Linked DNA regions of Elephas maximus indicus. The protein of the gene in region 2 purifies or fractionates together with the protein of the main gene of each other region. This does not show direct contact. Links are inferred from orthologs where the notes say so. Each region holds a gene or a part of one and is shown on either strand. Other genes may lie near its edges. The genes, in order: YAF2 and BCORL1.

The links.
Region 1: the proteins of BCORL1 (region 2) and YAF2 purify together in Homo sapiens (affinity purification with mass spectrometry; 5 studies listed by BioGRID and IntAct, counting the BioPlex papers as one, with this or other methods). This does not show direct contact. The link is inferred for Elephas maximus indicus from reciprocal best matches to the Homo sapiens genes BCORL1 and YAF2.

What each region holds. Positions count from the first base shown.
Region 1 is NC_064822.1:96,838,700-96,853,816, forward strand, and holds the start of YAF2 (YY1-associated factor 2), read right to left. Parts: upstream 8,270-15,117; 5' UTR 8,146-8,269; coding exon 8,120-8,145; intron 7,706-8,119; coding exon 7,580-7,705; intron 5,922-7,579; coding exon of another isoform or gene 5,720-5,921; exon of another isoform or gene 1-5,719. UniProt on the Homo sapiens protein: Binds to MYC and inhibits MYC-mediated transactivation. Also binds to MYCN and enhances MYCN-dependent transcriptional activation. Increases calpain 2-mediated proteolysis of YY1 in vitro.
Region 2 is NC_064846.1:26,452,627-26,468,246, forward strand, and holds the start of BCORL1 (BCL-6 corepressor-like protein 1), read right to left. Parts: upstream 7,286-15,620; 5' UTR 7,197-7,285; intron 6,893-7,196; exon of another isoform or gene 6,874-6,892; intron 6,640-6,873; exon of another isoform or gene 6,501-6,639; intron 5,948-6,500; 5' UTR 5,868-5,947; intron 5,184-5,867; exon of another isoform or gene 4,879-5,183; intron 4,194-4,878; 5' UTR 4,069-4,193; intron 3,220-4,068; exon of another isoform or gene 3,204-3,219; intron 3,085-3,203; exon of another isoform or gene 2,548-3,084; intron 164-2,547; exon of another isoform or gene 1-163. UniProt on the Homo sapiens protein: Transcriptional corepressor. May specifically inhibit gene expression when recruited to promoter regions by sequence-specific DNA-binding proteins such as BCL6.

The DNA.
Region 1 (15,117 bases), on a different chromosome or scaffold from region 2:
CTTTTTATTACAGGGACCAACATAATCAGATATGGTTGAAATACAACCAAGATACCATTAACAGCACTCTGAAGGCAGAGAGACCAAGTTGTCCAATAGCCAATCAGAGAAATGGTGAGCGCCTGTGAACTATGGCTATACAAATCAGAAAAGGGAGGATACAAATCTCAAAGTGTTTCTCAATATGACAACTGAGGGATACTGGATAGGAGGGATGACAATGAGTTAGAATCAAAGTTGAGATGATAGTTTCTTTCTTGGGTTCCAGAAAGAAGTTTATGCCACATACAAAATAAGGAACACAGACAAGAAGCCAGGTTTGAGGAAGCAGAAATAGATTTAAGAGACATACAAGGAAAACTAGGAAAAAGTTGTATAAGAGAAGTCAGAGGAGAGCTTCAATTTTTTTTTAAAAGCTAGCAACATCAAATGTTGCAGGGATCACATCGAAAGAAGACTGAGATTAGGCTGCTGAGTTTAACAACTAGGTCACTGGTTTTTAGAGGCCTCACTCAAGAAAGGAAAGAAAAAGAACGCCTGTTGAAGTAAATATGTCATGTGTAGAAGCTCAAGCTAATAAAACTATAAACCAGCAGTTTATAAACTTTCTGCCCTCAGATCTCTTTACACTCTTAAAGGTTAGAAGACCCCAAAAAACTTTTGTTTATGTGAGTTTTATCTATTGATGTTTACTGTATTAGAAAACTGAGAAAAAAATTTAAAGTATATATTCATTTTTTAAAACCATAATCAGAACATTCCGCATCAATATAAATATTTTAATGTGAAAAAAATCTTTATTTTCCAAAACACAAAAATAACTAAGTATGAAGAGTGGCATTGTTTTATATTTTTGCAACTCTTTAACATTCTTCAGAATGGAAGACATCTATCTGGATTCTCGTATTTGCTTTGCCATTCAATCTGTTGCAGTATATTGTTTTGGTTCAATATAAAGAAATCTCGACTTCCAGAGAGTAGTTGAAAAAAAAAGGGGGGGGAGGAATATTTTAATAACCTTTTCAGATAACTGTGGATATTCTTCTTTGATACTACATAAAAACACAGTAAAGAGTCTTTTCCCAAAGTTTAGTTGCAATGTAGAATGGAAATCATCAATGAACTTTTCATACTGTGTTCCCTTTAAAATCAATTGGTTCGTTTTGCACTTTGAATTATTCACGTATGGTTTTGCAACTTCATCCATTGATCACTGGGAAAATATTAGGTCACTGAGTTATGCAGATGTTCCAAATGCTGACACATTTTATGGTATGATATCAGAAATCACATTCATTAATATCACCGCCAATCTTATTAGAAAAGTCTTTAAAGTACTGGGAAACTCTGAAGCTTACTGTAGTGCTTACAAGTTTTCCAAAATTCTTATTTTCATTTGAAAGTTCAGCTTTTATCACTGGCAGCAAATACTGACAATTGTTTTCCTTGAAGTGGCAGGCTCACTTTGTTTCTGAGAAAATCTCTGCTGAATAACCAAGTCTGAATAGCCACAGTTTTGTCAGTCATTCCTTCAAATAAAAATGATGTTCTATGAAAAAAGGAACTAATTCTGCTCACAACTCAAACAACTGCATAAATACTTTTCCTGGAATCAACCACTGCACTCCGGTATGCAGCAGAAGTGCTTTATGTGTACTTTCCATTTCATCAGAGAGAATGTTAAAAATGACATTATTTAATAAAATTTATAATTCTTAATGCCTAATCAAGGATATTCTTAAGTGGAACTGGCATTATGTCTCCTCTGAGCGCACAATAGTGAGGAAGACGAGGAATACAGCAATTTCGTGCGGCTGCTTTGATTCATGCTAAGGTACCAGCAGTTTTACCCACCACTGCTTCTGCACCAAAGGAGCCCTGGTCGGGCAACGGTTATGAGCTACAGTTGCTAACCAAAAGGTAGGCAGTTTGAATCCACCAGCTGCCCCCTGGAGACCCTATGGGGCAGTTCTACTTTGTTCTATAGGGTTGCTTTTAGTCAAAACCAGCTCGACAGCACCTAACACCACCACCACTCTGGACTATGCAAACAATAATCACCTTCAAAAACAGTCATCATCAAGTCGATTCTGACTCATGTGTTGCAGAGCAGAACTGTGCTCCACAGGGTTTTCAAAGCTGTCATCTTTCAGAAGCAGATCACCAAGCCTTTTTTCCGAGGTACCTCTGGGTGACCCTGAACCTCCGAACTTTTTTAGTAGCCAAACACTTAATAGTCTGTACCACCCAGGAACTCCGAAACCAAGATATACAGAAAAGAAAAAACAAACAAGTAGTCTCCTATAACAAGGAGTCTCTGAACAACAACGGGAGTCCCTGGGTGGTGCAACTGGTTAAGCAGTCAACTACTAACCAAAAGGTTGTTGGTATGAACCCACCCAGAGACATCTTGAAAGAAAGGCCTGGTGATTCGCTTCTGGAAGGTCAAAAAACCAAACCCTGTGCCGCCGAGTCGATTCCGACTCATAGCGACCCTACAGGACAGAGTAGAACTGCCCCACAGAGTTTCCAAGGAGTAACTGGTGGATTCGAACTGCTGACCCTTTGGTTAGCAGCCGTAGCATTTAACCATTATGCCACCAGGGTTTCTGGAAGGTCACAACCTTGAAAACCCTATGGAATGCAATTCTACTCTGCATACATGGGGTTGTCATGGAGTCAAAATCGACTCAATGGCTATTGGTTTTTATTTAGTTTTATTGTGAACAACTCTGTGGTAGCTGAGGAAGATCCTCAGAGAGACAGGGGATACTGTATTTCTGAAAAATTAACTTACACCGTCTTCAATTTTTTCTCCCATTCTCACTCTGAGTCTAAGACAATCAACTCTGTATCAAACTTCAAATTAGAAGACAGAAAGCAAGTATAATACAACAATAATATTGAAAAAATTTCTCACCAAATAGTTGGTTTCCTTAAGGTTTCTTCAGAATGTGAATTCTATGTAGTTTACCCCCAACTTATAGAAGCAAAAGTAATTTATTCTTTTTACCAGCAGCCAGATCCTAATCATAATAATAAGTTCAGTTATAAACTTAAGATTTTTTTTAATGGAGAAGTTACTACTCTTTGGCTCATATATAAAGGAAAGATTTACTAAAAGTACATCATACACAGAATTTGGTACTGTTCAAAGTGTTTATAATTTGACAACAAAGCTAAAATCTTACAGAAGAAACAAGTAACTATTTTGCTCACCATTTTATGTCCAGTACTTAGTTCAGACCTTGCATAAAGTAACATGTTCAGTAAACATTTGCTGAATGCTGAATGTTGAAGTGGTTAAAATAAGATATGAACCCAGATCACCAGATTCCTACTTCAATACTTAGCGCTCTTTACACTATGTGGAATCTTTTCCACATTTCTCTAAAATAACACCTATGAGAAATCCAAAGGAATAATCGGCCCTCTATATCCACGGGTTCCTTATCCATGGACTCAACCAACAGTGGATCAAAAATACTAATAAAAAAAAAAAAAAGTTCCAAAAAGCAAAACTTCAACTTGCCACGCGCGGAGCACTAAGCTGAATCCAAGCAAATGAAAGGATGTGTAGGCTGTAGCTTCCCACCATTTCCCAGACCCTCAGCTTCTCTCCAGAACTCATTTGAGCATTGCTTACCTCCCCTCTTGTTTGCTACTTGTGTTGTGTGCACTTTGGTTTCTGTAAAATGGCTCCTAAAAAGCCACAAAGTGGTCAAAGCAATCCCTCGAGGGCTAAGTGTGAATGGGTCTAAGACAGCTGGAGGAAGTTTAAGGCTAGTAGGGGATGGCTGGCTAGCTATGTAAAGCTCTACGACCTCAAGAACCTCAAGATCACAGGCAAATAGGCATCGGCTGATGGCCATGTAGTATCAGTGTTCCCAAAAGAGCTCAAGAAACTCATAGAAGAGAAAGGCTACCTTTCACATCAAGTCTTCAACTGTGATGAAACAACTATTTACATAGCATTTACGTTGTATTAGGTATTATAAGTAATCAAGAGATGATTTAAAGTACACAGGAGGATGTGTGCAGGTTATACCCAAATATTTTGCCATTTTATACAAGGGACTTGAGCATCCTCAGGTTTTGGTATCTGCAGGGGTGGGGGAGGGGAGTCTTGGAACCAATTCTCCTGCAGACACGGAGGAACAACTGTTTTACAAGTTACACTGAGAAAATATCACAGGTAAAGATATTACATCTGGAAGTCTGCTATGTACCAGATATTTCATAGGTTCTCATTTAGACCACAGCTCAAAACTAAAACCAACTGCTCTATTATTTTCATTTCAAAATATCTGCTATCTGAATTAAGCAATAAAGTCATTCTTCCATATATATATGAACAACTGGCAATAAGATACTAGTTTAATTCAATCATTATATACTGATTACTATCCTCACACACATTTTTTTCTCTGGTGATGGTTCTTAATTTCCTAAAGTTTCCATTTGGGACACTTACTGCCTCATAAGAACTTCAGGTATAAAGATGAAGAAGGCAGTCTGCCACTTATGGGAATCATTTGTCACCACAGCTTTGTTTTTCTAAGTTTTTTCTATTAGTAGGACATTTATCAGTGTTTAACTCACAAAAGCACAATGTAGAAAACTTCAGGTATTTGAACCATCTAGCTATTTAGATTCCGGATTTTGAAAAAAAAGAGTTGAATAGATCAAATTTAAACTCATGAAGGCCACCAAGTACAAAAACTGAAATTCAATCACAGAAACATAAACTTAAATAATATAATTTATCATCTGAGGAACTGAAGCTATGTCCAGTCACATTTCATTTTGAAATACATCTTATGAATATAAGCTCATTTCACTGCATATAAAGTCGTTCTGCAGAAAAGCATGACCTACCAAGGAAATATCCAAAAGAGTTTTCTGTTGCAACGTAGAGAATTTGAACTAGATAGTCTTAAAAAAAAAATGGTCTGTAAAGACTTTAAGGGAGACGATGGAATCATCTTCTCTGGATTTTTAAATGTCTAGGATGGCTTAGACTTGGCTATAAATTTAAGAGACTGAGATACCATCAGTTCAAAGGTCAGTGTGACCCAAGGGATTGAAATCCTGTCTTCTGGTCACACAAACAAGTCATTAACAAACTGGATCCTTCAGAGCTGCAGCTATTCAGTTCCTTGGTTTGGTACTCTCCAGCCTTACCCTTGAAATTACCTTAACTGCTAATTAAAATGTCAGTTGTAGAGAATTATTTCTTCCAACTACTGCAACTTTTGCTTCTTAGTAGTGTTCTACAGTCTTTTCATTCTGTTTTTCTAATATTACCAAAGAGCAAACTATTTTGTGATGCCATCAATATCTGCCCTATTAACAATGCCCTGTTCTATTGTTCTTTCCAAACATGGATTCCACTCTGAATTTCAGAAACAGTGATAGGAAAACAACAGATTAACAGAGAAATTAGAGCTCTTACGTTTAATTTATGGCCAAAATCAAAAGAGAAGAGACAATTCAGAGAGAGGAAGGAAGAAGCTGAGAGGGTCTTAGTGTAGAACACTTACTTTTAGGAACAGAGTGTCCCTTAGACTTCTGGTGAGTTGCCCAGAGCCTCTTCAGTTTCAATCCAAATGACAATGCTTCTCTGAGTCCTCCTCAAGTAATGATTCCACCACTAAAAATTGGATCTACAAGAGCTCAGAAGTACTGGTAAAAAATGTCAGGGGCCCCCACATGGGCCTCAAGCCTCTTTTAAACTAGGCCCACTTCTCTGTCCTGGGCCAACTCCCCTGTGCACTATATTCCTTCTTCTTCCAGGTGCCAGGTATGCGGCCTGTTTCTTCTCTTCTGAGCTGTCACCACCTACTCTATTTCTCAGGGTTCCTCTAACCCCAAGACTGGCTGTGGAGTAGGACACCAGCTTCCCCCCTTCCTTGCTGTCCCTGCAAATAAACATATAGGCTCTTCTAATTTCAGTATTTTTCTATTGGCTACAAGAAAATAGAGGGAACAACAAAAAGCAACAACATAGTACCAGAGATTAAGATTATAATAATTGTCTCCACTTTAAAGCGCCTGTCTCCAAAAAAACAAATTTTCTAGAACTTGTTTATTGAGCATTTTAAAAAGTATAAAGTACTAATATAAAATATACAAATATAGCCTAAACCAAATCCAAGGCAATAAAGATATCAAGATAAAAGGATATTCTGCTTTTCAAAATACTTAAATCACGGGTCCAAAAACAGTTTACGATCAGATTCATTTACACATACAGGTACTTTTTTCTTTTTATAATGTTCTGCTGTTTTATTCCCTTGAATATAGTAGATGTTCAAAAACTTGTTTTTTAAAGAATATGAAAATGTTCAATACATTTTATCTAATACGAGTGGGAATTAATATACAAAAAACATCTTATGATTTACCAAAAGACTTCAAAAGCATCTGGTTTCACTAAGGAAATGTTAAAATTTTAAATTAGTGTCAACCACTTCTACCTCTATATTAACATTTTTTTAATGAAATCCCATAAATGGGGTTTAAAAATCAGGATATCTCATTTTCAGAAATCTAATACCAACTGAATATTTAAATCTAACATTACCGATATTTAGGCTCTTTTTTTTTTTTTAACAAGAGACCACATTGTAAGATATTAATAATGTTCTTATACTTTTAATAATTTCATTTCTAACAGACTTTGTAAGACCATATTACATAAACTATATAAATATTAAGCTATAAATCAGAGGATTCTAACAACTTAATTCAAAGGCTACCCTCCTATAAAAAGGCAAAGCAACTCCCTAAGTGCTGGGAGATCAAAAACGTCATTGACTTCGAATTTCCTGGATGATTTTCGTTAGCCACTTAATTGACTTAAGTGGTTTTTTAAGAGACAGAACTATTATACTTTAAGCGTACAATAACATAAAGTTAAAACTGAAAATAGGCAGGGATCATTTTATCTCATTTGTATAGTCTAACAGATTGCCACTTAATCAAGCTAAAGCTATTCAAATACTTTCAGTAAAAAAATGTGTCCTATTGAGTGGGCTTACCTCCAACTATTTATTTATAAAATATTGGAGAATTTCCATAAGAATACTAAACAAGACCCTTCCATATTTCAAAATGAAGTTTAAGCTACCGTGTATTCTACAGATACTTTTTTCTTTTTTGAGGAATGCAATTAGATTACATCCTTTGCTTCCAAAGTGGATTTCATGGGCTTTCCTTGATCCCCACACACTAATACAAAAATGCAGCCAAGATTATTATATCCGGGGCGGGGGGGGGGGGGGGCTCCATTACACTCAGCAATACGAATTAAATCGCAGTAGCTAATGCCTCTCTTAAATAATTTATCCTCTCCTGGCAGCAAAAAACGCTACAGCCTCTTCAATTACCCCTCACCACAAACCATCGCCTAGGTCGCGATCAATCTGACCCAGCTGCTATCGCGGCCACCACCTCAGTCTCACCTCTCCTACCGTTTGGGTCTGCAAGTGTCACGGGAAGGGGCGGCCGCCGCAGGGGCGTCCTCTGCGCCGCCACCCGGGCACCCGGCGGCGCGCGGGGCAGGCCCGGGACTCACCGTGTGGAGGTGCCCTTCCGCACATCGCACATCATGCACTTGAAGGCCTCGGCGCTGTTCCGGAAGGTGCAGACGCTACAGTCCCAGTAACCCTCATCCGAGGACGGCTTCGGCTGCCGCTTCGGCCTGCAGGACACAACCCAGACACGACGCGGCGCAGGGTCACCAGCAGGCCGCGCCCGGGCCCCGCGGCCATCCCCGCCCCGCCCCAATTCCGCGACCCCCGCCTCACCGGCCCCCGGCGCGCTGCGCTCTGGCTCGGAGGGGGAGGGGAGTCAGGGAGGAGAAGGGCGCGAGAGCCGCCGCAGTAGCCGCCGCCGACGCTCTACCACTGGGGGCTGCCCCTGTGGCCACCGCCGCCATCGCGCCTCCATTGTGGGGTGGCCGGCGCTGGCCCCTCACACGGCAGCGCTCGCGCAGCAGCGGCGCCGCCCCCGTTCTCGCCCCGGTGCCCGGGCGGCGAGTGAGGCGGCCGCCCGAAACCCAGCGCGAGGGCCCCGCCGCTCGCACAGTCGGGACCCCGGTGCCGGGCGCTCTTACCTGGTGGGGCTCTTCTTGTCTCCCATGGCTTGGCTACAAACGCACGCCAAGAGTCGCCGCCGCGGCTGCTCTGTTTGTCAATAAGAAGGATAATAAGCCCGGCGGAAGCAGGCGGGGGAGGGAGGAGGGAGGGGGCGGGGAAGGCCGCACCGCGGAGCTCGGAGCAGCCGCCGGATCCCACGCAGCCTCCAGCTGTCGGGGAAACTCCTGCCTGGGCGCACGTGACCCGCGCCTGCCAACCAGCGGCCGCGCCGGAGACTTCAAACACGGCTAGCGCGGCCCAGCACCCGCGGCCAGTTCGCTGGCAGCCGCTGCAGCCTCGGGCGCCGCCGCAGCCGCCGCAGCTCCGCGCTCTTTCCCGCGCTTCCATTCTGCGTCCCCGAGTGTCGCACGCTTCGGAGCTCCTGCTAGGAAGCGTGTGGCCTGCAGGAGGACTGGGGATGCTCCGTCATCCCACGCGAAGCCTGGTTCGAAGTGAGGCCAGCGTTCGGAGGTAACCCATCGCGGGACAGAAGGGACCTGCGGGAGTCTGCAGGTAGAACCGCTTTCCTGGCCTCAGCCGTCCATGTCTACTCAACACCCGCCCGAAGGATACCTGGGGGGAGGCGGGAACCGACATTGAGCGCCATTGCTAGGTGTCAAACACTGTCTGCCTAAATCCACACAAATGCTCTACTGTATAGGCGTTGTCACCCTCAATTTAGAGAAAATGAAACTGAGGCTCAAGAGAGATTAGGTGACTTCCTGTAGGTTACATATTAGAAAGTGCAAATCTAGGAGCCTGAAAAAAAGAGCCTGAGCCTGGTTTAAATCCAAACTAGCCCTCTTGGCTTTCCAGGACTCTGCAGTAGCAGCTTTTAAAAGAAAATGAATACTCATAAACCTTTGTTTTTTTTAATAACAAGTTTGCAAACCCGTTTTTTTTTTTTTTTTTGACAAAGGAACACTTTTCCCTTGGTCTCAACGTAATGGAGGCCCTCATCACCTTGTTCTACACTCTGGTACAGCCATGTAACTGCTTTCTGAAGCTCCAATCCCACCGCACCAGTATATATCCTAAACCACAGCCAGATTAATAATAAACATTGTTAACATTATGCCACCACTCTGCTCATAAGCTAATGGCGACCAGACTCCTTAGGCTGGCATTCAAAGACTTAACACAAGTTTTCCCTAACTCTCATTCTACTCCCCAACAGAAACGCAGCCTCCTGAGGAGGATTAAAGAGGAAACCGCTTGCCGAAACCCTTCGTGCACTGCATGAAATATTTCCCCCTTCTTTCTGACCAGACTCATAGCTCATAACGACCCTATAGGACAGAATAGAACTGCCCCATAGAGTTTCCAAGGACCGCCTGGCGGATTCAAACTGCCGACCATTTGGTTAGCAGCCGTAGCACTTAACCACCATGCCACCGGGGTTTCCTATGAGTCAGAATCAACTGGACGGTGCTGGGTTTCTTTTTTCGGTTTGGTCTGACTAGAGATCAATTATCCAATAATCAAGGTAAGCGCAGTGCTTACCTTGCTTACCAGATCATATGTAGTGAACAATTCACGTGTTTTCACCACATGAAAGACTCTGCTTCTGGTATGGCTGGCATCTTTCTCTCAACCCCACAGCACCTTCCTACAGGATCAAAGACTGTCTTCAATTTTGCAATCCCTGACAAGAGCAGATAATCCAGTAAGCAAAAGTAAGTATGGGCTTACTTTTGCTTACTTACTAATCTGTAGTGAACAATTCAAATACACGGTGACACCCACGTGAAATTGTTCACTATAGATTAGTAAGTAAAAGTAAGCTTGCTTAGTGGGTTATCTGCCCTTGTCTCTGACTACTATTTCTGCCCATCTTTGTAGGTTCGCGTCAGATCTGAGTTCCTAAAGAATTCTTTCTGTTTTATAGCTGAAAGGGTCTTAATGTGCTACAAAGGAAATAGTACAGTTAGAAGTCCCAGTTCCCAGCCTGTTTCCCCTAATCTTTAACTGATGGATCTTGAAAAATTTCTGTAATTTTCAATTTTTTTGTCTGCAAAATGGCATCTATATATATATATATAAGGTTGCTGCGTGACTAGTAATAATACAACATTTTTTAGCACTATATGCCAGGCATTTTGTAAATCTCTGTATACAAATGGGTATTTTATAAGGCTCAAAAGTACTATGCAAATGTTAGTTCTTCTCTAGTCTTAATCTCTTCATTTAAAAGACAAGGAAGTTAGGGCCTAGGTTAAATGGCTTCTGTTTAATGAATAGGCCAGGATTAGAGCTCAGATGTCTATTAGTCCTCTACCAAGCCATGTGTTCTGCTTAACCAAATCACCCCAATTTGCAGCAGCCTCTGAACTCAGCACTATCCGTACTTTTTGCAAGTGTCACTTTTTTTGACTCAAATCCTGATTCAGAAACCATGGGGATTTTGACTGAGGAAAGCATACAAGAGAAGGAGATCTAAAGCCTAGTCTCAGTCTCTCAGTAATGCCATGGGTAAACTTAATTAAGCCACTTGGGTTTTTTTCATCAGTAAAATAAAGAGTTAAAACTATTGTCACAACTAAGGTCCCTTCCAACTCTAAGGCATTGTGATGTTTTTTATATTCCTCAACTGGATGCATCATCAAAGAGAATGACAAGAACTGGTCTGTTTGCAAAAGTGATGGCAACACTGTATTTTTCAATCAAAAGAAAATCAAATCAAGAACTCTAAAAAAAGTTGTCAGTGGTGTAAATCACCATTTCACTAGAAAATAAATTCCACCACTAGAAAGTAAGCTTCACTTCCAAAGCACAAGTGCAAGAAGGGCAGGAATTTGTATTCGTGGTATTCATCGCTGCACCTCCAGTCACTAGAACAGTCTGACACATAATGGACACTTAATAAATATTTTGAGAAGGAATAAATTCATCCATGCCACAGTTCATGGATGAGGTGTTTTTTCACACTGAGATTGACAGCCCATTACGCATATTGGCATGCAGTAGATGGTCTATAAATGCTGAAGTTTACAGCCCTGCACACTGAACTTTACAACTCTGCAAAGTAATCCTTGTAGAGGAATCAGAGATTGAACCCAGTTTCTATGAAGCACATGCCCTTGCACTATACCAGTTGCTGACCATTTATTGGGTGCTTTTTTTTTTCTCTTAGAAAGATCCTGCCTTTACTAAACTTACGTGAAGAAGCACCTCCTCCTTCTTTACCACAAGAGTCCAATCTTTTTTCCTGAAGTGTTTTTCTTACGGTTTGAAAAGAGTGACTGCAGAAGAGGAAGATCCTTGTCACTAGAGTGATCCAGGTTCTTAACCATTTAGGTGCCTTTTCAATACATTTGCAGAGTTCAGTCCGCAAACGTAATTCATTGGGGTCACTTGTAAAATGACACAAACTGGCAATTGTTTTAACAATTTAAAAGTGGTAAAGTATTATAATAATTTACCATTAAAAAATTAAGTTAACTCCAAGGTAACTGATATATTCATTTCCATTTTAATATGCTTCCTAGAGTGGGAAAGACTGGAGAAATTACTGAAACTGTACGTGAGATCATGCGTGCAGCTGAACAGTAATCTGTTTGCTGTTGAGATATAAAAAAGACTGAGTGCCCCTGTCTTACATACATTGAGAGACTAACTGCGTGGTCCCGTGGGCCCCAGCCTGTTCTAATTAGACCCAAGTTTATGCCCATGAAACAAACACAACAACAATAAACACCATGCATTAAAGTTTTATACACCTATTAGACAACAAGGGCTAATACTTGATATGGTGAGCACTGTCTCATTTATCAACTGGAATTTGAAAGGAAATTAGTGTGACTAAGAGAGGAATAAGATACAATTCTTCCCTGAGAGAAGAACTCAAAATGAAATATAACAACAATAAACTACAATTGTAAAACCAATCACATTTTAAAAGGTTAATTTGGTTTTTGTCTGTTTCTTTGGTGTTTTGGTTTATTTTGTTTTTGCAAAATGAAGATACCTTTACTGATTTTGCTCGGTATAAAAGTTATATGTCACCAACATAAAAAGTTGAGCAAATTTTTTTTTATCGTACTTTAGATGAAAGTTTACAGGACAAACTATCTTCTTATGAAACAATTAGTATGCATATCGTTTTGTGATATTGGTTGCCAACCCCTGACACGTCAACACTCTCCTCTTCTTGACCTTGGGTTCCCTATTACCAGCTTTCCTGTCCCCTGCTGCCTTCTTGTCATTGTCCTTGGGCTGGTGTGCCAATTTAGTCTCATTTTGTTTTATGGGCCTGTCTAATCTTTGGCTGAACAGTGAACCTCAGGAATGACTTCATTACTGAGCTAAAAAGGTGTCTGGGGGCTCAGAAAAGATTTTTGAAATTAACCTATCTAGTACGTTCTTGTAACACTACTGGTGGTGGTGGTGGTATTACATGCCACTGAGTCAGTTCCAACTCATAGCAACCCTATGTACTACAGAATGAAACACTGTCCAGTACTACGTCATCCCCACACTTGTTGCTGTGTTTGAGCCGGTTGTTGCAGCCACTGTGTCAGTCTATCTCCTTAAGGGTCTTCTTCTTTTTCACTGATCCTCTACATTACCAGGCATGTTGTCCTTCTCCAGGGACTGATCCCTCATGATAACATGTCCAAAGCATGAGAGACAAAGTCTTGCCATACTTGCTTCTAAGGAGCATTCTGGCTGTACTTCTTCCAAGACAGATTTGTGTGTTCTTCTGGTAGTCCATATTATATTCAATACTCTTCACCAACACCATATATTCAAGTGCATCAATTCTTCTTCTGTCGTCCTTATTCATTGTCCAGGTTTTGCATGCATATGAGGTGATTAACAATACCATTGCATGGGTCAGACACACCTTTGTCCTTAAAGTGACATCTTTACTTTTCAACACTTTAAAGAGGTCTTTTGCAGCAGATTCGTCCAATGCAATATGTCCTTTGAGTTCTTGACTGCTGCTTCCATGGGTGTTGATTGTGCATCCAATTAAAATTAAATCCTTGGCAACTTTTCTCTGTTTATCATGATGTTGCTTACTGATCCAGTTGTAAGGATTTTTGTTTTCTTTATGTTGAGACGTAATCCACTGATCTTCATCAGTGTTTCAAATCGTCTTCACTTTCTGCAAGCAAGGTCGTGTCGTCTGCATGTCTCAGGTTGTTCATGAGTCTTCCTCCAGTCCTGATGCCACATTCTTCTGCACATAGTCCAGCTTCTTGGTTTATTTGCTCAGTATATAGATAAAATAAGTATGGCGAAAGGATACAACCCTGATGCACACCTTTCCTGATTTTAAGCCACACAGAATCCCATTGTTCTGTTCAAACAAAAGCCTTTTGGTCTCTGTACGGGTTCTGCACAGGCAAAGTTAAGTGTTCTGGAATTCCCATTCTTCGTAATGTTATCCATAATTTGTTATGATTCACACAGTTGAATGCCTTTGCATATTCGATAAAACATAGCTATACATCTTTCTGGTATTCTCTGCTTTTAGCCTAGATGCATCTGACATCAGCAGTGATATCCCTTGTTCCACATCCTCTTCTGAATCCAGCTTGAATTTCTGGCAGTTCCTAGTCAATGTTCTGCTGAAACCACTTTTGAATTGTCTTCAGCAAAATTTTACTTGCATGTGATATTAATGATATTGTTTGATAATTTCCACATTTTGTTGGATCACCTTTCTTTAGAATGGGCACAAATATGAATCTCTTCCAGTCAATTGGCCAGGTAGCTGTCTTGGCATGGACGAGTGAGCACTTCCAGTGTTGCATCTGTTCGTAAGAACATCTCAGTTGATATTCCATCAATCCCTGGAGCCTTGTTTTTCACCAGTGCCTTCAGTGCAGCTTAGACATCTTCCTTTGATACCATTGGTTCTTGATTATATGCTACCTACTGAAATGGTTGAACATTGACAAATTCTTTTCAATACAGTGACTCTGTGTATTCCTTCCATCTTGTTTTGATGCTTCCCACGTCTGTCAGTTTGTTGTACTCTGGTGGCTGGCTTGCGTGTTGCTGTGATGCTGAAAGCTATGCCACCAATATTTCAAATATCAGTAGGATCACCCGTGATGGACAGGTTTCAGCAGAGCTTTCAAACTAAGACAGACTAAGAAGAAGGACCTGACAATCTATTTCTGAGAAAATAGGCCAGTGAAAATCTTATGAATAACAGCCAAAACATTGCCTGATATAGTGCTGGAACAAGAGCCCCTCAGGTTGAAAGGCACTCAAACTATGACTGGAGAAGAGTAGAGTCGACATGGATGAAGTAAAGCTTTTGTAATCTTCTTTGCTGATGTGGCGTGATTCAAAATGAGAAGAAACGTCTCCAAATATCCATGAATAATCAGAATGTGGAATATACAAAGTATGAATCTAGGAAAACTGGAAGTTGTCAAAAATGGAATAGAATGCTTGAAGATGGGTATCCTAGGCATTAGTGAGCTGAAATGGACTGGCTTGGGCCATTTTGAATCAGACAAACAGATGGGCTACTCTGCTGTGAATGAGAAATTGAAGAGGAACAGCATCACATTCATTGTCAAAAAGAACACTTCAAGATCTGTCCTGAAGTCCAACGCTGTCAATGATAGGATAATACTCATATGCCTACGAGAAAAACTAGTTAATACAGCTGTTCAAACTTTCACACTAATGCCAAAGATGAAGAAATTGATGATTTTTTACCAACTTCTGCAGTCTGAAATTGATCAAACACACAGTCAAGATGCATTGATAATTACTGGTGATTGAAATGTGAAAGTTGGAAACAAAGAAGAAGGATTAGTAGTTGGAAAATTTGGCCTATGCGCTGGAGATCGCATGATAGAATTTTGCAAAACCGATGACCAATTCATTGAAAGTACTTTTTTTTCAACAACATAAAAGGCAACTATACACGTGGACCTTACCGGATGGAATACACAGGAATCAAATTGGCTACATCTGTGGAAAGAGATGATAAAGAAGCTCAGCATCA
Region 2 (15,620 bases):
GCAGTTCAAATCTACCAGGCGCTCCTTGGAAACTCTATGAGGCAGTTCTAGTCTATCCTATAGGGTCACTAAGAGTCAGAATCTACTTGATGGCAATGGGTTTGGTTTTTGTTTAGCGTCTAGGGTCTTCCCTCCCCTTACAATTATCAGTGGCGGCCTTCTCCCCTTTCCCATCTATTTTATCCCACCCACCACCAACTTCTACTTTCCCAGAATGCTCTCTGTTCCACTCTAGTGGTAACTTCCTCACCCAAACTCAACCAAGACCTTCTGTCTCAATCCTGAATGCTGGTTGGCCCTGGAACACAGCTCTCTATTCCCTGTGGCTGTTCTATTCCATTCCAGTCTTAGCTCAGCCCAGAATCAATGAGCCTAGGCTTCAGATGTCATCCTGTCCAACCCCTGATTAGCGCCTCTCCCCCATGCCCGCACCCCACCCGCAAATTCTGGCCAAGGCCCTCCTGCCACTGCTCTTTATCCTGTTTCACTCTGGAATTTCCATCACTAACGTCCTTGTATCTAGGATCCCTCCCACTTGCCGACTGGAAAAACTGGTGTATTCCCACTTTCTCCTTCTTTCAAGGGCTTTATATTTAGGACAGCGGATTCCTTCCCCCATTCAGTATCCTTACTTTCCTCTAGATTTTCTAATTAATGCTTAGTCCTGGATCCGTGCTAATCCCTGCTTCCTTGCCCCTACCGGGGCAGTTGTCATGAAAGGCAAGTTTTTCCTTCTCCAACAGCAGCTCCAAATGCCATCTGAGTAACTGTCTTCATCCTTTGGCTCTTTATTTCTCTCTTACTTTTTTTTTTTTTTAAACCTGTATACTATTTCTAAGTTCTCTATTTTCTTATGGGTACATATATTTATATTTCTTCCTAAATGCCAGTTTCTCCCCAACCGTATTTCTACCCAAAATCTTCTTTATCTCTTGCTCCCTCCTTAGTGATCTTAACATGACACCGTAAAGAAATGTAAAGGTTCTTCAAACTTTACTTTGGAGAACATTGTCCTAGACATTTCCTTACTGGGCCCAAACATGGGACCAGTGATGATCATTTTTCTTCTTACCTCACTATCCACTCTCTTCCTTTCTAGTACTGAAGTCCTCTCCTCCCATAATTCTGTTCCCTTAAAAGCAGCCCATGATCTAGACTAACCACGTTGTGAGATTCTCTGCCACCTGTATTAAACATTTTTCCCCTCCTATGAAGCAAATTATAGGAGTCCCTGGGTGGTGCACACAGTTAAGCATTCAACTACTAGCTGAAAGGTTGGCGGTTCAAACCTACCCAGAGGTGCCTCAAAAGAGATCTGCTTCCGAAAGGTCATGAAAAGCCCTATGGACCACACTTCTACTCTGACACACATGGGGTCTTCTTAAGTTGGAAATGACTCAATGCCAACTAACAACAACTATTTCGTGAATTAAATTATGAATAAAGCAAACAAACACCTAGAAGAAATCTTTTTGCTTCCCAAGAAAGTCCACACCACTGAGAAATAAATGTATCTTTCCCTTTCTCCCCTACCCTCTCCTGGCAGATCAAAATGACCAGATCCACATGAGTGCCCTTGGTGCAGCTGTCCTTTCTTCTGGAACTCCCCTCGACTCTGCCCAATTCAGACTCCAACAGCGTAGCTTTTCAGGGCCTTAGCTTTCCTCTGCCCATCTCGAGGATTGGCCTTCCCTTCCTTATTAGCATATTCTAAAGAGCTAGTTCTCCTTAGCCCAGGCATTAGGGACCCCTTTCCCTTCCCCCATTAATTACTTTTTGAGTCCCATTTTTTTCAGCTCCAGGACAGAAAGAAACCTACCTACCTACCCACCCCTGCTGCAAACCTAATGTAACAGGGTCAGTTCTCTTACAGCCAATTTTAGTAAGGATCTGTGCCCCAAGGCCTGTGCCCCTCACACCCTACACCCACCTCAAGGACAGCTGCCTCAGCTGCCCTATCAAAAGATGGGTCTGCCTATCAATATTCACTTGACTTAGTCAAGATGGCCATGTCCCTCCTAAACTCTACTATCAACCTTCAGACTCTCTTGACTCACCAAACCCCCTGCTCCTCCCAGCTCCCCGAGTCTGTCCTACTAATTTCGCTTCTCCATCAGAATTTTATAAGTTCCTCCCCAACCTTTTGTTTCTATTTAGAGATTCTGGGTGATTCTTGGGATTGAGTTACCCTGCTTAATACCCAGTGAAACCTCCCGAATTTCTACATTCTTTCATCTTCGGTACCACACAGTGATATCATCTTTGGATATGAGTACCGCTAAATCTCCAAGTATCTTCCACTGTGCCACCTACCATCTCCCCCATAACAAGGTTCCTTCTATGCCAACATTCAAGGACAAAACAAACAGAGAACTATATGACCTTTAATGTCTCTTCCAACCCTAGCATTTTATTATTCACCTAATACGTTCCTAACCCCAAATGCACCCCTTGTCTACTTCCCCATAAAACATTTCAGCAACGTGACTTTGAGAACTAGCCTTTTAAGTTGAAACAACTATGGAGCTAACCCAGTGTGATGCTAACCGACAACTGCATCCCCAGAAGTAGCACCAAAGCGTTCTGCAACTGTATTCCACTTCTGTACCACGGAGAAAACATCCGAAGTGCCTTGCGAGTATTCAGCTGTAACACAAAGTTACCTGCCCCCTTCCCACATCCCCCTCGCGAGTGCCTAATCCCTGGGGCTTGACGCTGTCATGACTCTAGGAGACATCGAGACTAAGTACCACCACACCGACAGTTTCGAACCACCACCACTAAACATTTCAAAACAATAAAACAGAAACATAGCGCTTCCACTGGGGGAGGGGGGAAGGGGCAGGCGGAATAGTAGAACCCCCCTCACCGGCCTGTGCTGTCGGTCTCCCGGGTTTGCAGTGTGCTTGCCTCCCTCCTTTCCCCTCGACCACATCTTCCCCTACCACAATCTCCTGCACCTCCATAACTCGAAATCCCGGAGCCGAGGTGCGGCCGGCTCCTCCCAGTCTTGCCCCGGACGTCCCTCCGGCCCAGCCTTCCTCTCGGCGGGACTCCGGCGAGGAGGGCCCCCTCCACCGTCCAGCTCACCTCCCTGTCCCTTCCCAGGCCCCCCTCCAGGGCTCTGACCTGAAGCAGAACCTCGAGGAGCCAAGCCCACGAGGCCCGTCGCGGAACCCACCCCCCCCTCCTCCTCCCAGCACCTCGTCCTCCATGCACCCGGCCCCCGAGGCTCCTTGTCGTCGTCGTCCGGGCTCGCACCGCCCCCCGTCGGGGCTCCACCCTCCCTCCTGCCCCCGCCCCCAAAACGGCCCCCTCCCCACGGCGCGCCAGCGGCGCCCTCTGCCCCGGCACGGGACTCCCTTTGGCCTCCGTTCCCCGCCCAGAAGCGGTGGCGGCGGCAACGGCTGCGGCGGCCCCAGCAGGAGCAGCGGCGGCGGCGGCGGCGGCGGCGGCGGCGGCAGCACCGCCCCGGCCCCGCCCCGCCGGAGCCCCACGCCCCGCCCGCCCGCCCCGCCGCCGGACTGCTCCCCCCGAAGCCCACCGCCGAGCCCCCCCACGCCGCGGCCGCGATCCGCTCGAATCCAGCTCCGCGGGGCCTGCTGGCCGTTCTGCACGCCCCTTAGGACCCGGCGGCGAGGGGGCGGGGGGAGCCCCTGGTTCGCGGCCATCCCTCTCCCTCCTTCTCCCAGGGCTGGGGGATTGCCCCTGATCCCGAAACCCGGCCCCGTAATCGGAGCCTCCCTCCCTCCAGCCCTCGGCTCTGCTCGCAGACCCCGTGCCTCCAGGCCTGGCGCGAGGCGGGTGGAGGGCTTGCACGCTGGCTCTCCCCCTTGCTGGCCGGGGCTAGGGTGAATTGCCCCCGATCGCAGCCTCCTTCCCTGTAAGCCCCCTCCCCACCGCGCCCGGCCCGGCGGCCCCCGCCCCTGGAGCGAGGGCAGCTGAGCCAGGGCGCTCCGAAGTCATCCCCCGCCTTTTTTCCAGGGACTCGGCTAATTGCCCCTGCCCCCATCACAACACTCCCACTCCCGAACCCAGGCCCCGCCGCCACCCAGGGGTCCCCCTTACCCTATGGTTCCCGCACCCCAGCACCGGGGAGAAAGCAGCCTTCAAGAGCACCCGGCGCACCTCCCTTCTGAGGTTGGAGGGTATTTTCTCCTGGTCTTTTCAAGACTTCATCACGGACAACCCCCCTAAAAAAAAAAAAAAAAAAACCAAGCCCTTTCTCGCCCTGCCCTGCTGACCAGCCTCCCTTAGGGTTGTCGGGTTCTTGGATGGGGGGTCGAGGACCAGAGAGTTCACAAGACCATAGCCTCCACCGCCCTTTCCGAGGAGTAGGGTAATTCCAATGGTTTCCTCCCCAGGATCAATCGACCCCCGTGTTTCCATGGAGGCCCCCGCCCAGCCAGGAAGAAGACTCTTCCTCGGATCCTGGTGAACAAGTCTCACCTGGCTACGGGAGAAGGGGGTGAGGCGAAGGTAGGCTAGGGCAGAGGAATGGGGTACGAAGGTGGGAAGTAGAGGGGAGCTGTCCCGAAGGGAGGGGCGAGGACAGAGCGAGCTCCAGGGAGCGCTACGTCCGGGGACACGAAGAGGACGGCGCCCCCAGGGACAAGCAGAGCGGCCACGGGGCGAAAAAGGGACAGGGCTGGTGAAAAGCTTAAGATAGAAAGAAGACAGTGGGGGGATACGAGAAAGCAGGGGAGTCAAAAGGGGTGGAGGCTTGGGGGAGAAAAAAAAAAAGACGCACCTGTTCCCGGGTCGGCTCCGCGGGGAGGCTCAGGCCGCCACCCGGGCTCCCTCTAACCCCCTCGGAACCGCCACCCGCCTAATACCGCCCAGATCAGCTGCCCCCCTCCGCCCCTTATCGCCACCGACCTCCTTCTCCTCTCTGTCGGCGGCGGCGGTCGGACTCTAGGAACTGAGAGGAAGAAGGGAGGGCTCAGCAAAGCGGAGGAGAGACAGAGCCACACACTGGCAGCAGCCGCGGCGAGCGAAAGAGTGAGGGGGAGAGCGATGTGTGTGTGTGTCTGTGTGTGCGAGAGATGCCTGGTGGAGTGGGTGCCGGTCGCAGGGCTCGACGGGAAGTGGAGTCCGGCCGGGCTCGCGGGCGGCGCCAGCCCCTGCTCCGTGGGACTACAACTCCCAGAACACCGCCGACGTGGGGGGGGGAATGGAGAGGAGGAGGCGAAGGGAGCGAGCAAGCAAAGAGAGGGAGGGACGAAAGCAGGGAGCAAGCGGCGGCGAAGGGGGCAGAGCCAAGCAGCCCCGGTGACACTGGGAGGGGAGGGGAGGAGGAGGGGATCGCGGCGAGGACCGAGCGGATTCCGGAGAGGGACGCAGCGGTGGCTGCAGCAAGCCGGGCAAAAAGCTAGACTCCTGGGAGAGGCGGAGGTGCTCAACCCGAGGGGCTGCAAGAGCTCCATGCCCCCCCTCGACGTCCCCCGAAGGGGGAGGTTGAGGAAGGGAGATGAGTGCGCCTAGGCCAGGGATTTCTCTTTCTTGCAACCCTCCCCACCTTATGCCCCGACCTGACTTTCTCAGGCCACTGGTGCCGGATCCAGTGTGCAAATCCGGAGACCTCCCCTGCCGGGCAGCACAGAGCAAACGCATTCAGTCCCCTCCTCCCAGGGGCCAGAGGGAGGCTCCCCTCGCTGGCAGGGCGTGACTCCCCCCTTCTTCCCTCCCCCCCCCCGCCAGCCGTCGCCACCCCCCATCTCCCTCCCCGGAACCCCTCCCCTGAAGCCGGGGCTTGCCTCTGTCTCCCCGCCAAGAATCGGAGTCCCTTAGGGGCGCAGACCCAGTCCCCTCCCTTGTACTGGGCCCTCTACCCACCAGTATCCCCTTCTTAGTTCTGCCCCCCTCACCTAAGTGATAGTGGGGGCGACTCGAGTTGGACTGATGGCGACTTTCCCTCCGAGGCCAGCCGTCCTCCGCCACACCGATCCTGTGTCGAGATAGAGAAGCACGTTAATATTCCCGCCCCCCTCCCCCCGCCAGGTTCGGATTCCCGTGGAAATGGCTCGCAGGAAAGGGGTTGGTAGTGGAAGTGAGCCGGGAGTGAATCCCAATCTTCAAACCTCATCCCAGGCGTGGAAATCCAGGGATTCTTCCCTTTCCTTAAAAGACAAATTGCTTGGGGTACCTAGGGGGTAGGTTAGCTAAACCCCAACGTCCACGCGACTCGAAGCGACGCTACACTGTAGAATAAGATACGAACTAGCCTGCCGCCGCAGGAGGGAAAGTCTGCCTCACCATCATCGTGCACCCCCCCCCCCTCTACGCAGACCCCAAAGGAGAGTCAGATGGCCAAGAAAGGACGGGAGGCAGTGGGAGTGCTGGGGAGTGGAAGGCTTGTGCGGGGAGGGTCCGCGGCCCCCTGAGAGCAGGATCCAGATGCTAAGAGGTGGGTGGGGGGTGCGGCGTAATTGCAGACGGTGTCTTTGCTCGCCTTTCCCGGAATCGCCGCCGAACCCCGTCTAACACTCGGAGTTGCTTACCAGTCAGTCCCCTCTCCCCATTTGTGCGCGGGAGGCGGCCAGAGCCCGGGCAGCCCCGGCACAAACTCCACGGAAGCTGGCCTCCGCCGCCGCCGCGCTGCCGCGGGCCTCCCTCCCTCGGCTCGCGGCCCCGCCGATCTACCTTCGCCCCCGGCCGAGGCCAGACCCCGTTCTCAACTCCACGCCCCTACTCCACCCCCGGCTCCCCTCCCTGCTCGGCCCGCGGGTCCGACCCAGCCCTCGCGCCGCCCCGCCCTACCGCTCGGTCCCGAGCCCAGCAAGTGCCCCGAACTCGCCCCCCACCCCCACGCCCAGGCCAGCCCTCCAGGCCTGCTTCCCTCCCGCGCGCCCCGCCCCCGAACCCACGTCCTACTTCGCCGCCCAACTCGGCCCCGGCCCGGTTCGGCCCGCGCCCAGGCCACCCGCGTCCCCGGTTCGGTCCGGTGTGCGGCCACCCACCCCGCCCTTGCCTGAGTGCCGGCCTGGCCCGCTGCCTGCGCCCGCCGAGGCGGCCCAGGCGCACGGTCCGGGTCCGGGTCCCGGCCTCGGTCCAGGCGCCGTTGCCGCGTCTCGCCACGAGGGCTCGGTCCACGCAGGATCCGAACCCGCGCGCGGTGGGGGCCATGGGAAGCAAGTTTCTTCCCCCCCCGCCCCCGCCGCAGGGCCGCGCCGGCCCCCCCACGGCGCCCCCTTCACCTGGGGAGAGCCCCCCCGCCCGCCGCTGTGGCAACTTTGCTCTTCTCCACGCCGCCGGGGGAGCGGGCGACGCGGGAGGAGGAGGGAGGTAGCGAGGGGGGGTGTGCTGAGATCAGGCCGCTGGGCTCCGGGAGGACACGTGGGGGAGGAGGGGAAGGAGGAGGAGGAAGGGGGGCAGGCCTGCAGTTCTCGGGGCTCCCCCTGCGAGCCCCGGGGAAGCCGGAACCTCGCCCGGCAGCCGCAGACCCCGCACTGGCCACGGGGGAAGAGCGGAGCCACCTTCCTTGGCCAGCCCCGGGCTCCAGGAAGGGGGGGGGGCCGCGAGCAGCGCCGCTCGGGGTCGGAGAGCGAGCGTTTTCGCTAGTGCTTTATTTGTGACTCTCTCTCCCCGTTTTAGCCTCACTGTGTGCGTGTTGGGGGGTGTAGGGTATTGCATGCCGAGGGGGGCGCCCCACTAGGCGACCCGCCCCCCCCCGCCCTCCACTTCCCCACCCCAAGCGACCTCGGTGCGTGGCTCTGGCGCTCGGGCACCGAGGCCGCCCGCGGCTGAAGTGGGACAGGTGCTGGGGAAGGGAAAATGCCGGGGCTCGCCGCCTCGCCTCGCGACTCCGAGGCGGCCCACCCTTCGTGGTAACCTCCCGGGCTGCAAACTCCCAAAGCCGCCCTCAAAGCGCAGCCCCCTACCTGGGCGGGGTGGAGGCACGGGGCGGGGTGGGGGAGGGATTGAGAAGCGGGAGAGGGGAGAGGAGGAAGGGGGCGAAAGGTCTATAAAGGGGGAATCTTGCACGACTCGGGGGCCAAAAACCGGCTCGAAGAGGACTCGGGTTCTGCCCGCTTTTCCTGGGTTCCTCAGGCACCAATCCGAGCCCCTTGACCCTTACCCTTTACCCTAACGACTCCCGGCCTGGCCAAAGAAATAAATTCTCTTGTGTATTTACATCCCAGGCCATCCCCTGGACTGAAGGGCTGAAAAGCAAAGTTGTGGTCCACATTCGAACTCTGGTGACTTTACATTAACTCTAACGAGGAGAGAAGCTTGCGAAGGAGCTGAAACTGCAGGCAGACTCGCTTTCAGTCTTCGGGTGCTTAGCAGCTCTAACCCTGAGCCTGTAGTAGAGACTTCAAAGGCATCGCCTCAGCCTGGAGGGTATTAGGGGAGGTGCCCAGTAGTTCCTGGAGGGTTCAGCGCTTTGTAAACGGAATGTGGAATGAATAGCAGGAATTAAAAAAAAAAAAACTTTATGTGCAGATATATTGATACTATTTATTATATACTTATCCATACTAAGGAAGCTGGAGAGTCATTTGGGCTAGAAGGAAGCCCTGCCGAATGAATGCCCTCCTCCTCCTCTTTCCCACCCCCTCCCTTTTCCTAGGCCCAGGGGGTCCATCTGTAAGCTAGGGGCTGTCTTCCCTCCTCTGCTAGGACTTTTGAGATGGTTTGTCTCCCTCACCTGGTTTGAGGGATGTGCGTGGGTACTGAGGAGGAGGACAAGTTATCTAAGGTTGCAGTGGCTTTGCTGTTGCTGAGGCCTGGTGTTGGATGACCCCCTCCTGCTTGTCCTCACTAGCCTCCACATCTCTTGGCTGCAGAATGGACATGGTGCTGGCCATTTTGTTTTGCTTTGGGAACCTCCTCACTAGCTTGTTTTACTTGGCCACTGCACCCTCCCATACACGCCTGCCGCCCAAAAGTGTTTGGCCTAAGGTGCACCAAGGGAAGGTAAAGATTTGGAAATAAGTTGTTCAAGCTAATCAACATATGAATTCAAAATGCATTATTAGGGGGAAACTGCCTCTTGAGGGGGCCCCACCAATTCTGCTTTGATTTAAGTTGATCATCTTTGCTGATTTTAATTAAATCTAGTAATTATGAAATCTCTACTTCTCTTAAGGCTCTTAGGGCCTTAGGGCTACTTTGCTCCTTGGTCTGAGGCTGAAATGGATTCTGGCCACCTCTGTTCCCACTAGTCTGTGTCTCGCCATTTGGCTGCATCATTTATCTGGTGAGATGAAGGTTGGGGCAAGATGGTTGTTTCCTGGCTGGAGCTCTAGCTTCTCTGAGCCCTTTCCTGTTGGGGGCCAGGCTTCCTGCCCTACAGGAGATGATGGGAAACCAAGGAGCAGGGTGGAGAGAAGTGTGGGAAACCTTGTAAAGAATGTAGATATTAATGATGATTTTATTTTAGGCAAGAACCGCAACATAACCATAATAATAATACCTTACTTTCGTACAGCATTGGACTGGTTTATAAGGCCCTCCCACTTACATTATTTCATTTGTTTCTCACAATGCTCAATTTTGTAATTGAGGTGAGGACACTGAGTCAATGAGAGTCAATGAGTGGCTTGCTCAAAGTCATATAGCTAGTGAGATCCTGAGCCAGGACTCAACCCCCAAGTAGTAGTCCTGACTCCCCATCCAGAGTTCTTCTCAATATGGTACCTGTCTCCACTGAATACCAAAGTAGTCCTTTTTTAGGCAGATTGTTTTTTCTGATTATTTCTCCCACCAATAAGATCTATTGGCCCAGGCCTTGACTCTCAGAGAGGCATCTTGGTATAATGGAAAGAGGATTGTTGAGAAGTTCTAAGAACCACCAGGTCCTAGTCCTGTCTTGTCAATAACTAGCAATGTGACCTCAAACAAGCCGTAACATTTGACTGAGTAGTGCCAGCCCGATGCCAGGGACTATGTTTTGGGTCTCTTCCCCGCCCCCCCCCATAATACGGAAATCAAGGTACCTGCCCTACTTCCGCGAGCAGTGAGCATCGTATGAGATAAAGGATGGGAGATGGTTTTGTACACCATAAGCTTCTGGGGTCATGTAGTACAGAGACCTAGGGGTGACTCCAGCTTGGGCCCCACCCTCCTGCAACTTACCAGACAAAGCAAGGCATTGGGGAGGGGGTCTCAGTAGCCCCAAACCAACCTCCAACTAAATTCATAGGATAATTGCTTCAATTCTCTGCTTTGTTCTGCAATCAGAGGTCTTGTCTCTCTGGTAAAGCAACCCAGCCCTAGGACCAAAAAAAAAAAAATCCCAAATACTTTATATCTTTAGAATGTCAGAGGGAAGCAAATTGGAGGCTTGGCCGTCCCTTCATTTGCTGCAGTCGCTCATTTGAAGGTGAAGTCAGGTTTGGAACTCAGTCTCAAGGCTGCCAAAGGGCTCATTCTAAGTCACCCCGGTGGAAAGGGGACCAGGGGCGAGGGGGAGATAGAAAGAGCCTCACACTTGCTAGGAGACAGTGCTGGGCTGGTGTGAGGTCGGCAGGGCCGGCCAAGGGTTACATGGTGTTTGCCAGTGTTTCACTTTATGTTCTGGGGAGGGGTGGGGGAGGATTCAATGCCTGCTATTTGTAAATCTCAAAATCACAAACCCTATTACAGCAGGGTTGCTGCTGTTCGTGCATTCCAGCAGCCCTTGAGCGCTGGGGACCAAGCGCTGGCTCACCGAGGGAGAACAAACGGCCAGCCAGCTGCCCGGGAAGGCCTGGGCTCTGCCCTGGTAGGACCGCGGGTCTAGATCTCGAGCCAGCCTGTCTGGTTAAACTTAACTCTGTCAACAACCAACAACCTTTTTAGATTTTATGGCCAAAGGGGGGAAAATACGAAAGGGGACTAGACTCACCCCAGAGGCCTCACCAGGTCAAGCCCCCTCCAGCTGGCTGACCACTCCCCCCGAAGACTCTCAGGCACTTAACTAAGTTCTTAATCAAACATACAGTATTAGAGATGGAAGGAACTCTAAGAAATTACCTGCTCTCCTGAAAAACTGGCTGTGGCTGCCCACTGCCAGCTGTTTCAGGACACCTTCCCTCACCCCGGCCCCCTCCCTGTGGAAGTTAACTGCCCTTCTAGGGTATCTCCACAGTACTTAGCTTATCCCTTTATTTAGCACTTTGATATACTTTGCCCATGTCTCTTTCCAACCGCATTTTTAATTCCTTGGATGAAGGGACCCAGTATTTCTCCTCTGTGTATCACATTCTTCTTCCTCTCTCCCCCACCTTGGCATAGATTCCCGATGCCATCGAGTTGATTCCGACTCATAGTGACCCTATAGGACACAGTAGAACTGCCCCATAGAGTTTCCAAGGAGCACCTGGTGGATTTGAACCCCCGACCTACTAGTTAGCATACGTAGTACTTAACCACTAAGCCACCAGGGTTTCCTGGCACAGATTAGGCCCACTATAAATGTTTGTTAAGTGAATGAATGAGTGAATGAGCTAGTCCAACTCCCTTGTTTTACAGTGGGGAAGTGGAGGCCCAGACCTGGCTTCCCTTCTTGCCAGTTAAAGACTCACTTTTAAGTCTCGGTCTCTTTTAGTCTTTCTCTTCCCAAATAGTGGCGATGCACACAATCTCTGAAGTTAGGGATATTGCCTTGGGCATTTCTCTCTGAGCCTCAGTTTCTTTGTTTATAAAATTGGGGCTAATAAATACCTCTTGAAAACGTTATAAGGACCAAATGAGTTCCTGGCACCTAATAGATGCTCAATAGCAGTGTTTTTAAAATCTGAGAAACGTTTATGAGTTCAGAACCTGGGAGTACCTGCTTAATTCAAGCCCAGGAATAAAAGCCACAACCTGAACATAAAGAAAAAGAGAAGTATATTTTCAGTAAGGGAAATGGAATGAAATTTAACAAGACCTTATTTAGTAAAGCGGTTATCCCCCTCCCAAAAGAGGCTAAAGGATACTGAGGAAAAAAATATTGAGACTAGCGCCCAGTTCGGTGGCCAACAATCAACTGGCGCTAACCAAATTTCAGTTCCTGGGATGGCTGCGTTTGTCCTGCTGTGTGGTGGGGAAGTTGGCATGGGACTGAGGTGCCCTGCTGAACCCACACATAACATTCTCACCCCTATCCCAGTGCCTCCACCTGAATGCCACTCTCCCAGGCCAAATCCTTCAAGTCCCACCTGAAGGAAGCCTTCTCCAAATGCTTTTTGCCTTTAGGAATGCTCTCATCCCTAACCTCTTGGTAGGTTAAGTACTGCCCAGCTTAGCACTTAATGCTTTTCTGTGCTAGTTTGACCTCCCCATTTGAGGGTAGGCACCTTGTCACAGAAGGTGGATCCCCACCTCCCTCCCCTACCTCCCCCCTCGCCCGCCAGCATTTGAGCAGACAGCACTCAATGAATATTTGGGATTCATTGACAGTAGCTGTTCTTGGGGAGCAGTGGGGGCATAGGCCTCCTCAAGTCCTGCCCACCATGCCTTCTCCCAATGCCCCGTATCCGTACAGACACTGCCCTTCTCAAATCAACCACTCAGCCTTTTCAGTAGCCATCTTGCCTCTTAAATTTATAAATGTCTAGAGGGCAAGGGCTATGTTTTCCTGTGTCCTCGACCCGGCCCAGCATAGCACTACCAACATTAACAGCATAGAGTAAGCACATAGTTTTGCTGCTATAGATAACTTGGTAAAGATACCATTCTTATTTTGGGTTTGTGTGTGCATGTGTGTTTATATATATTCTTGTGTTTCTGTTCTTCTTCGTTAAACTGCAAGGGGCTCCAGAGGAGGAATTGTCCATTTTTGTGAAGACTTGCAAGATAATTAAAAATCAGGTTAAGATCAGGTATTTAGATTTTTTTTTTAAATCCATGAAATGAGTGTTTTGCTGTCAGCACACATTCAATATAAACTCTTACACCAATGTTTCTCAAGTTTTAACATACATAAGAATCATTGGGGAGAGCTAGCTTGTTAAAATTCAAATTCCAAGGCACCCTCCTGCCCAGGGTCTTACTTAATAGATTCGGGCTGGTGCCTGGCACTCTGCATCTCTGAAAGTCTCTACAGATAATTCTGAACCAGCGGATCCATGGACTATACCTTGAAAGACACTGAGCATTTTTTCCATTTTCATCTTTCCCAGAGATGCCCAAACTTTTCGCTAAGAAGGGTTTTATTATTTCTTTTCCCTCAGGGACTCCATTTAACAAAGTTATATGTTACTTAGTACGTACCAGACACTGTTCTAAGGATTTTACAAATACTAACTCGTAACAGCCCCACAAGGTATTATTTCCCCCTCTTACAGATGAAGAAATTGAGGCACAGAGAAGTTCAGTGACTTGCCCGAGGTTGCCCAGCTATTAAGGTTTTTTTTAATTGAGGTGAAATTCACATAACATAAAATCAACAATTTTAAAGTGACCAAATCAGTGACATTTAGTACATTCACAACGTTGTACAACCATCAGCATTTTCATCACCTCCAAATAAAGCTCCACGCCCGTTAAGCAGTTGCTCCCACATTCTTCTCCTCCCTCAGCCCCTGGAAACCACCAATCTGCTTTCATTTATACGGATTTACCTATTCAGGACATTTCCTGTAAATGAATCACAAACTTAGCATAATGTTTTCATGGTCCATTCACCTTTGTAGCTTATATTAGTACTTCAATCCTTTTTATGGCTGCATAATATTCCATTATATGGATATGCCACAAATTTGTTTACCCATTCCCAGCTAATAAGTTTTGTTTCATTTTTTGTCTGCTTGTTCTGTTTTTGTTTCTCCCCAGCGAGTAAGTTTTGAAGTCAGAATTCGAATCCAGACAGTCTAACTTCAGAGTCTGTGCCCTGAACTCCCTTGTGTTCGAAATGCTCATCTATTTAAACAGAACATGTTTTCCTGTAATAATTAATTTGCCAATTAAAAATTTACCAAACACATCCAAAACTACCCACCAGAGCTTCAGATCAGCCAGAACTAGCCACATTGTGGTAATTTTATTCCAGCCAAAACCGAAAAGCACTCGATGTGTAATCTCTGCAGCTTCATGCAGGTACGTGTTTGGTTTCACTGCGCGCATGCGTGCGTGTGTGCGTGCGTGTATGTTAGTTGCCCTGAGTTGGCTCCAACTCATGATGACCCCATGTACAATGAAGCAAAACGTTACCTGGTCCTGCACCAGTCTCACAATCGTTGGTATGTTTGAGCCCATTATTGCAGCTATTGTGTCAGTCCATCTCATTGAAGCCTTCCCTCTTTTTTGCTGACTCCTCTACGTTACCAGTTGGTCTCAATAGACTTTATGAAGTACTAAACACAATTCACAGAGTCTCCCACAGGCTTTTCTGGGCTTGGGGACCCCAATTAGGGATCCACTGATGGCAAATCCTTGCAAGATACCCAGTCAACAAAGAGCGATTCTATTCAGTGGCTCAGTAGATTCTACTAACAATCCAGAAAGTGGGCTCATGTATATTAGAAAGATTTCCTACTCAAAGCAGCAGGACAAAAAAAGAAGTTAAGGATTAACCTTTAGTAAATGAGAAAATTCCAAAATCCAGAGGTGTTTTCGTTAACTAGAGTTTCACCACAAAGAATGCACAAGGCCATGTCCCCAGGACCAATAAGACAGTCTCCCTGAAAGGCCTTCCAGACCTTCCAGAGGCCTTCCAAACCCGAAGCATCTGCTCTGACAGAACCCAAGGTGAGAATGCTATTCCAACACAACGCTGATCACATGATTTTTCTCCTGACTTGTCAAGGGTGTGGACAAAAAAATAAACAGGCTTGCATCTCCTCTGGAGGCTTGTGATACCCATGTCCCATGTCTGATAGCCCCATTTGATGTCCTGAGCACTGCCCTCTCCAAAGGCACCCGTTGTAGGCGCATCAGAGACCAAGCAGCTGGGGTAGATTCAAAACCATTAGCCCTGACTTCGCTCAACAGAATAAAATGAACATCAAGGAGTGCCTTGAAAGGGAAAAGAGACTACAAAACATGGCGCTTGAGAGGTGAGGAGTGCACAGTGAACGGTGAGCAGGGGAGGCTTCTTCATCCAAGTAGCCCAGAGCCTAGCAGAAGGGCTGGTGCTGATGGGAAAGTGCTCAATACATGTTTGTTGACTGAATGACTGACTGAAAGAGAGCCTTCTTCTTGGTCTGCAGGTTGCTGTGGAGGTGTCGTAGAGCTGCTCTGTGGGGACAGAGAATGGAGGGCAGTTGCCATAGGTCTGGAGGGCCCTGCCAGGACCGACACAGACCGTGTTTTTCTCTGTCTGAACATTTCTCCCAGGCAAAGTTCTCAGAGCCTGCAAGTCTCAAAAGTAGATTTCTCTGAGCTCACTGTGTGCTTTATTTTACTGAACTCAAGTCTGAGGGACCTAACAGTGGCATAGTGTTGTTGGGAGAATCCAATGAGTGCACCTATATAAAAGCATATTGAAAAAAAGAGAGGAGCAGGGATTCTTGTTAACTTACCAATATTGCCTTTGCATGGATCTAAATGACTCTTTGTATGTGCCATTCGGCCAGGTAGGGTTCTACCTATGGGCCTTAAACACTGAACACACGCATGCGTGGACAGCCCTCCCGGAGGTGGGGGGGGAATGAAACCCAACTCATAGCGACACTATAGGACAGAGTAGAACTGCCCCCATGTGGTTTCCA